Linked DNA regions of Danio rerio. The protein of the gene in region 2 binds, or shares a complex with, the protein of the main gene of each other region. Links are inferred from orthologs where the notes say so. Each region holds a gene or a part of one and is shown on either strand. Other genes may lie near its edges. The genes, in order: cdk5 and cdk5r1b.

Region 1 (4,450 bases), on a different chromosome or scaffold from region 2:
CTTAGCTTAGCATAGATCATTAAATCGGATTAGACCATTAGCATCTCAATAAAACAAAAAGTTTAAATATTTTACCAATTTGAAGCTTGACTTTTCTGTAGTTACATTGCGTAGTCAGACTGGCAGTAAATGAACAGCTGTCTTGGAACTTTACTGTCATTCTGGCGTAATAAGCAAGGAACTTTGTTGCTGTATCATGGCTAAAACAAGCGCAGTGATCTTACGCAGTGCCTAAAAAAGGTTCCTTGATTATGACTCAGAAAATAGAACATTCTATTTTCAGCAGTCTTAGTACACAATGTAACTAAAGAAGAGTCAAGCTGTAAAATGGAGAATTATTAAGACTCAACTTTATTATTTTTGAGCGTGATGTTAATGGTCTAATCCGATTCAATGATTTATGCTAAGCTAAGCTAACGGTGCTCCCACCGGACCTGAAGATCTGATGAATGAATATTTAAAAATTGGTTAAAATGGAGTCACTCTTTAAATAAGAAAATAATCAAAACTCAACTTTTTTTTTTTTTTTTGAGGGAGATGCTAATGGTCTAATCTGATTCAATGACTTATGTTAAGCTTAGCTAAAAGTGTTCCCACCAAACACAAAGATCAACTGAATACATTTTTAAAAATATAGTCAAATTCAACTGTTTAACTTAAAAAAAATAAGGTGCAGCGTTTCTTTAAATGAAGAATAGGAAAACGATAACAGTGTTGTTTAAAATGAATGCTAAAATCTCGCTCATAGAAAAATCGCACAACCTAGACTTTTTTTACCATTACTGTGTACAACACAAAATTCTATGGTGGTTTTTCTTTATATACTGTATATCGTAACGTGTGCTAAATCAATGATGTGCGCTGTACCTCATTCAATTATAATGCTCATTTGATCGTAGACAAAAAAAAATAATAATAAGATAAAGAAATTGCTGCTTTTTGTAGTCCCCACCGCAGCGTTTTGTAAACCTTCAGAGACCAATGAAGAACATTTGGCAACTAAATGAATCATGTAGGGCCAGGATTGAAGGTTTGCAGGCTAGAAGAAATTATCAACATTTTTAATTTACATAACAGTTCACCTATATATGTGACTATGATCAATGTTTATATGGATAGTTCACGCAAAAAATAAAATGATCATTTAATCTTTCACTTGTTTAAAGCCTGTTTGAGTTGCTTTCTTATTGAACATAAATGAAAATGTACTGAAGAACGTGAAAAACAGCCATTGAGTATTTTTCGTTGCTACTAGAGATGCTTTTTCCAACATTCTTCAAAACATCAGCATTTTTGTTCAACAGAAGAAACTCAAAAAACTTTAGAAGCACTTGAGGAATTACGAGGAATTTTTCATTTTTGGGTGAACTGTCCCTTTAGATGGTCTGACGTTATGCGATTCTCTAATTTTGTTTGTCTGGATGAACTTTTTCCGATAATTCCATTAAAAATGAAACTTTGCTGTTGATTTAATACCCTCGGGTCATCAAAGACGGTCGCTTTCTTTTAATTCAGTGACACATTAAAAGACTTATGGTTTAAACTGTGATCCTTGTTGATTCATAAAACTGCAAGTAAGATATGGAGTCAAAAATAAATACATAAATAAATAACATACAGGCTAATCAAAATACATATATATTCAGCTCTGGACAATAAATTGAGGTCTTATAAAACACAATGAAGTTCATAATGCTCATGGAATCAACTATTCCAATCATTAAAGGCACAGTTCAGTCAAAAACAAATTCTCACTGTTTACTCCAAACCTTTATGTGTTTCTTCATTATGTTGAACACGTTTCTGATGTACTATTGATACCCATAGCAGGAAAAACAAATGCTATGGAAGTCAATGATTACAGGTTTCCAGCATTCTTCGAAATGTCTTCTTTTATGTTCAACAGAATGAAGGTTTTGAATAGAGAGTGAATAACGCATTTTCAGTTTTGGGTGAACTATCCCTTTAATTTTGCCTGTATGTGTTTTTTTTGACTCCCAAAGTGCTGTTGACTTGCATTTTATAAATCACCCAATGACCAGTGTTTCAGCTAAAAACACACATTTTGTTAATGAAGAAATATGTCAAATTGATTTTTGATGAACTATCCCTTTAAGACCATAGTAACAACATAAAGGTCTTTTTGGAGATTTGTGCCGAATAACAGCAGCACACTCTGCATTAGAGAGAGTCACTATTATAATCATGTCTGTATGATCAAATCATAACCATAATCACTAATGGAGGAGTGTCTGGTGGTCCCTCTATTATCCTATGGTGAAAGCAGAAGCTGAGGGGGGTTTGAGGAGGTAAAACTGGCCCGTCTGTGTTCCTACATGATGATTTGGAGAGCAGTTTTTGTTTTTGTTTTTTTATGGTGGGCAGAAATCAGCAAAGTAAGGGTGCTGTAGAGCTTCTTCTGCTGAGATTCGCTGTACTGGATTACATTTCAGAAGATTCTAGAAAAAAATAAAAACAAAAAGTCACAAAATAGTAACATTTAGCAAAACCATCAATCATGAAATACAGTTAATCAAAAATTAATATAAAACTGCAATTATTATTGAAATATTTCACAAGTGCTTTAAAATAGTTTTTTTTCAACATTAAAAAAATAAAAATGATATATATATATATCAAATATATATCAAATATATATATATATATATATATATATATATATATATATATATATATATATATATATATATATATATATATATATATATATATATATTTATTTATTTATTTATATTATTTTAAACTACCCAGGTTCTGTATGTTGCAATGTTGCCAATTGTTATTGATTTTTTTTCCCGTTTAATTTAAAATTTCCCCAACCAGTCCAGAGCCCGGTGGAAAAGAGTGAGTTCTCCGACTTGACCCCAGCACTGGTCCAACGTTTCTAAACATAATAGTTTTAATGACTCATCTCCAATTTAGGAACAACTAATTTCCAACTTATTTATTTGTCTTTGCCATGATGACAGTACATTATATTTTGCAGGACACTATTTGAAGACCTAATTAGGTTAATAATGTTAATGCCACAGCCATATCTACCTGTAGCCCAAGACCAGTTACGCACTGAAGCCAAGCAGGGCTGAGCCTGGTCAATACCTGGATGAGAGACCACATGGGAAATCTAGGTTGCAGTTGGAAGTGGTGTTAATGAGGTCAGCAGCGGGAGCTCAACCTGCAGTCTGTGTTGAGTCCCAATGCCCCAGTATAGTGAAGGGGACATTATACTGTCAGTATGCACCGTTGTTAAACTGAGGTCCTGACTCTTGTTAAAAATCCCATGGCACTTCTCGTAAAGCGTAGTGGTGTATACCCGGTGTCCTGACCAAAGTCCCTCCATCGGCCCTTACTGATCATCCCCATCCAAGAAATTGGCTGGATCACTGTCTCTCCACTACAACTATAGCTGGTGTGTGGTGAGCGCACTGGCGCCGTTGTCCTGTGGCTGCTGTCACATCATCAAAGTGGATGCTGCACACTGGTAGTGGTGTGGGGAGACCCCCCCTCATGATTGTAAAGCACATTGTGTGTATGGCCATACACAATAAATGCACTATATAAATACACATTACATTACAATTTTGCAATGTATGGTAATTGGGCAAGTTATTGGACAACAGGTGTTTGTTCTGTGTGGACAACTAAAATAAACAAAATGTTAAGGGGGGTAATAATATTGACCTTAAAATTGGTTTTAAAAAATTTAAAACTGCTTTTATTTCAGGGCAAAAAGGCTTTCTACAGAAGAAAAAATATTATAGGAATTACTGTGAAAATGTCCTTGCTCTGTTAAAAAGCACTTGGGAAATATATACCTAAAAAGCAAAATAATTAAATCACAGGAGAGCTAATCATTTTGATTTCAGCTGCGATTGTTATGATAATGCAAATAATATACCTGTAGTAAATCTCTGCCGGTGCTGCTGAGTTTCGGCACGACGTTCACAAGTGATGTAGTAGCTGGATACATCGGGTACGGCTATTGAAATATCAAATAAATATTTAAAACAATATATAAATAAATTAAAAATATATGCAGCCAATTACTGAGTACAGTGGTCCCTCGTTAATCACAGGAGCTACGTTCTTAAAATAACCTGAAATCCGTAAAGTAGTCAGCTTTATTTTTTTACAATTATTATAGATGTTTTAAGGGCGACACGGTGACTCAGTGGTTAGCACTGTCGCCTCACAGCAAGAAGGTTGCTGGTTCGAGTCACAGCTGGGTCAGTTGGCATATCTGTGTGAAGTTTGCATGTTCTCCACGTGTTGGCATGGGTTTTCTCTGGGTGCTCCGGTATCACCCTCAGTCCAAAGACATATGCTATAGCTGAATTGAATAAACTAAATTGGCCGTAGTGTATGTGTGTAAAAATGTGTGTATGGATGTTTCCCAGTAATGTGTTGCAGCTGGATGGGCATTCACTGT
Region 2 (4,381 bases):
CTTCTGGCTCTCGTTTTTAAGGTCCGCAAAGACCTGGGTGAAATAGTGAGGATCCGAGTTGATCTGCAGCATCTTGGCGCTCATCAAATTGATGATGGACAGACAGCGGTCCCAGAATGTCTCCTTGGAGGTCTCCACAAGGAATGGCTTGAGAGGGTACGAGATCTCATTGCCCATGTATGAGTAAGACAGGTAGAGGCAGGTCAGTAGGACGGCCTGCAGCTCGTGCTCTGTGGCCACCTCAGAGGAGACCACGTCTCGGCAGAGCATGTAGACGAAAACTACATTGGCCGGGGTGATGAATCCCTGGTCCTGCCAGCCCTGCAGGAGCAAAGAACGGTCCACGCTGCGGAGCCACAATACGGGGTCTGTAGGGGACAGATGCTTGAGCCGATAGCACCTCCGGCAGAGGAACTCCCCAAGACAACGCAGAAGCTCGCTGGTAGAGGCCTGAACGATCACCCTCTTGGGTGTCCCAGGGACAGCGTTGGAGTTGGAAAGAGGTGCTTTCTTGACAGAGGAAGCTGTGTTGTTGGAGTTTTTGGAGCCTTGGTTTGACGGACTTGTCTGGTCCTGCGTAAAGGAGGCGAGATTTGCACATGACTGGGACTTCTTGAGGTTCTCATTGTTAAGGTGAGAAACATTGTTCTGGTAGGTGGTGTTTGGCTGCACCTTCTTAGACCCCTTTTTCTTGGCTGAAACGGCTACTATTCGCTTCCATGGCAGTACGTTGATGAGTGGGTGCCGTTTTAGGTTCTTGTCTTTGGCGTTCTTGCTGTTCTGAACCGCCGTGTAGTGGCCCACTGTGGCGGGGCCATCTTCGAACAGGGCAGCCTTCCGGTAGCTGGGTGAAAGTGATAGCACGGTTCCCATGATGCCGGGAGTTGGATATCAGGAACTCAAGGTTAGGGGTCAGCTAAAGAAGGCGCCAAACCGGAGCCCACTGCTTCCTGAGACTAGTTCAATCTGTTAGACATCCAAATTTAGGTTGGTGTTCTATTTAAGGAAGAATGATGTTGCGATGGATGAGGGCTTGGTTACTGCAAAGCCTGTAAGACAAAGAATGAATATATTATTTTGATATCTATTTTGATGTAGTCTATTTAATGCAGCCATGGCTGTATTAATTATTATTGTTAATTAGCACTGCAGGATGTTGTTTGTATGCAATATAATTGCCCGAAATAAAGACTCTGATTAAAATATGTAGAGCAAATTTGTATTAAGTGTCTTTATTAATTAGCATGTACTAATATTTGCAGTACTCACTACCATCCACTACTTGTGTAGAGATATAGTAAATTTTAAAAATAGCATTTGTTTACATAGTCTATGTAAATTTAATTACACTTTGACTTCATTCCAGCACCTTAACTAACCATTATACTACCATTATACCAAATATAACCTGTCCCTAAATTTAAAAGTATCCCACCTCGATAGCAACAACTGTACTTGGCAAAAAAAAAAAAAAAAACATAAACACAATTAGCACATTAAGTACATAGTTATACTTTTTTTTCAAATTTAATTTTAATTATACTGATTTATTACTTTGTTGCATGTTTTTGTTTTGTCAAATGATTTTGTATTGTTACGCCATTTTTGTTTAATAGTACCTTATTATTATTATTATTAGTAGTAGTAGTATTAGTATTATTATTATGGAAAATCATATTAACAGATGGCGTTTTTCTAACCATGCTGACTGCTGTCTTGCAATTAGGCCACTTAATGTTGTTTCCATTAAAATAATCTTCAATTATTAATGCTACCTAACGAGAGCAGACAATGTATTTTTTAAAGTGTCAAATAATTTTCTGAGTTTATATATACCCAGATATTATTTAAATAGTACTGGATAATATTCTTCTCATGTTAAATAAAACAAAATGCGTTTTACAAGTGCCCCACTGTTTTCTCTTTGTGGAAAACAGGCCTCGTAAAGGTGTCGCGTGGTATTAAAGAAATGTAGCCTATTTTTTTTTTTATCCTTGTTGACCTCTTAAAATCCTCTCAAAATCATAGATTTCTAAACAGCTATAACAAAATAAACCATTTATCTGGTTCGTACTTCTACTACACTCATAATATCATAACTAAAATCCATTTTACATAGAACAAAAATGTATTTCAGACGGCAAAGTCAACCCAGCCAACGACCATAAATAAAGACATCGCCATGATTGCAGACTCCACTGTTTACTGCTCTCCTGTAAATACACTGATTCCACTGTATCGCCGTTCGTAAATATGTGTTTAATAGGACATTTAATACCTCACTCACATTCGGTGTGTGTTTGTAGAGGATTTAACAAACCACAAAAGACGAAAACTCTTACTTTCGCCTCTGTATTATATTTGTCCCTGTCCAAGGTTCTGAAAATGTGCAATCCTCCCTGACATGTTTACACGAGGGCAAGATACACTGACATTGATTTTCCTAAGCAAAACAACACCATTTGAAATTTGAAAAGATAGAAATGAAAATAACAAAACAAATGTCGATCAAAACTATTATCGGTTGATTTCCAAAATCCTGTTTTTCCTTTCAAATATGGCCAACAGTAAACCGAATAAAAACAGAAATGCAACTGACTTACAGGAAATCTGCTCGCCTCCACGATGCTTTAGCAAAACAAGAGCCGCAGTAATGGCTGTCTGGGTTTATCCTTGATATCACTGCGCATCAAGGAGATGCAAAATCATCCACACAAGAAAAAGATTTAATATCAAGACGGACAGAAAGCCTAAATTCCAATAAAACAGCAGGCTTTTAATCAAATCAAATAAAAAAAAGCATTCCACGTCTCGTCGGAGGTCTCTCCCGTGGTCTAGGGATGCTGGATGTCTCCTTCGGTTGGTGATGCTGAGAGCAGTGAAGCTGCGCTATTGGTCCACACCAGCAGATAGGGGATTTAGGTTTGATGCTGTGCTGTCAGAGCCGCGCGCACTGCGTACTTCTGCAAGAAAACATGTGCAAGAGCGCCTCCCTGCGGACTCACCTGGAGGTTTTATTTTTTACTGCCGTACTCCACAGTTCAATCAAAGCAAACTCTCAAACGTTGGGTTTTTTTAATGCTTTAAAAAGGCTATTTATACACTCTAAAAAAAAAGCTGATTTGTTTTAAATTAAAATTTCAGGCAACAGCAACTCAAAAAAACTACTTGTTACAACCAAAGTATGCAGAAGAGCATCTCTGAACACACATCACATCAAACCTTGAGGCGGATGGGCTACAACAGCAGAAGACCACTTAGTGGGCCTATTAGTACCATCTGAGTATCATGTCAATGCCACAGCCTACCTGAGTATTTGTTGCTGACCATGTCCATCTCTTTATGACCACAGTGTACCCATCTGATTATGGCTTCTTCCAGCAGGATAGCACGCCATGTCATAAAGCATGAATCATATAAAACTGGTTTCTTTAACATGATAATGAATTCACAGTACTCTAATGGGCTCCACAGTCACCAGAACTCAATCCTATAAAGCACATTTGGGATGTGGTAAAATAGGAGATTTACATTATGCATATGCAGCTGCCAAATCTACAGCAATTGTGAGATGTTATCATGTCAATATGGACCAAAATCTCTTAGGGATATTTCCAGTACCTTGTTGAATCTATGCCACGAAAGGATTAAGGCAGTTCTAAATGCAACCTGGTATTGGTAAGGTTTACCTAATAAAGTGTCCAGTAATTGCATCTTACTAGCATATTTTAAAAGGCATAGTTAACAACAAAAGAAATGTCCTTACTGTTCACTTACATTCAAGTGCTCAATTCTCCTGTTGGACCTAAAACAACATATTCTGAAGAATGTTGGAAACTTTGGCCGGTGACATCCATTAAAAAAGGAGAGAAAAACAAAAACTATGGAAATCAATGACTGCTGCTTTCCAGCATTCTTTAATAAGTCTTCGTTTGTGCACAATAGAAGAGACAAACAGGTTTGAAACAAGTGGAGGGGGAATAAATTATGACAGATTTGTATTAATACGCTAGATTAAACCCAGATAAACAGCTTTTCTTGCTTCACCTTCCACGCTGATTCATTAAATCATTCATTCATTTTCTTTTTGGCTTAATTCTTTTATTAACCAGGGGTCGTCACAGCGGAATGAATCGCCAACTTATCCAGTACATTTTTACGCAGCGGATGCCCTTCCAGCCACAACCCATCTCTGGGAAACATCCACACACACTAATTCACACTTATTCATTATGGACAATTTAGCCCACCCAATTCACCTGTACTGCATGTCTTTGGACTGTGGGGGAAACCGGAGCACCCATAGGAAAAACACACAAACGCAGGGAGAACATGCAAACTCCACACAGAAACACCAACTGACCCAGCCGAGGCTCGAACC

What was found.
Region 1: the proteins of cdk5r1b (region 2) and cdk5 are in contact, whole or in part, in a crystal structure (PDB 3O0G), measured with the Homo sapiens proteins. The link is inferred for Danio rerio from reciprocal best matches to the Homo sapiens genes CDK5R1 and CDK5. Residues at the interface, in NP_003876.1 of Homo sapiens: Trp190, Gln193, Thr197, Pro198, Ala199, Phe203, Tyr231, Leu232, Ser235, Tyr236, Met237, Gly238, Asn239, Glu240, Ile241, Ser242, Tyr243, Pro244, Leu245, Lys254, Glu255, Trp258, Asp259, Cys261, Leu262, Ile265, Asn266, Ser269, Ser270, Met272; in NP_004926.1 of Homo sapiens: Leu37, Asp38, Glu42, Gly43, Pro45, Ser46, Ser47, Leu49, Arg50, Ile52, Cys53, Leu54, Lys56, Glu57, Val69, His71, Leu76, Arg120, Asn121, Val122, Leu147, Arg149, Ala150, Phe151, Gly152, Ile153, Pro154, Arg156, Cys157, Tyr158.

Annotation. Positions count from the first base shown.
Region 1 is NC_133199.1:37,948,523-37,952,972, forward strand, and holds the end of cdk5 (cyclin-dependent kinase 5), read right to left. Parts: intron 4,001-4,450; coding exon 3,920-4,000; intron 2,460-3,919; coding exon 2,373-2,459; 3' UTR 516-2,372; downstream 1-515. UniProt on the Homo sapiens protein: Proline-directed serine/threonine-protein kinase essential for neuronal cell cycle arrest and differentiation and may be involved in apoptotic cell death in neuronal diseases by triggering abortive cell cycle re-entry. Interacts with D1 and D3-type G1 cyclins.
Region 2 is NC_133187.1:30,240,191-30,244,571, reverse strand, and holds the start of cdk5r1b (cyclin-dependent kinase 5 activator 1b), read right to left. Parts: upstream 2,854-4,381; 5' UTR 2,604-2,853; intron 2,575-2,603; exon of another isoform or gene 2,343-2,574; intron 1,050-2,342; 5' UTR 874-1,049; coding exon 1-873. UniProt on the Homo sapiens protein: p35 is a neuron specific activator of CDK5. The complex p35/CDK5 is required for neurite outgrowth and cortical lamination. Involved in dendritic spine morphogenesis by mediating the EFNA1-EPHA4 signaling. Activator of TPKII.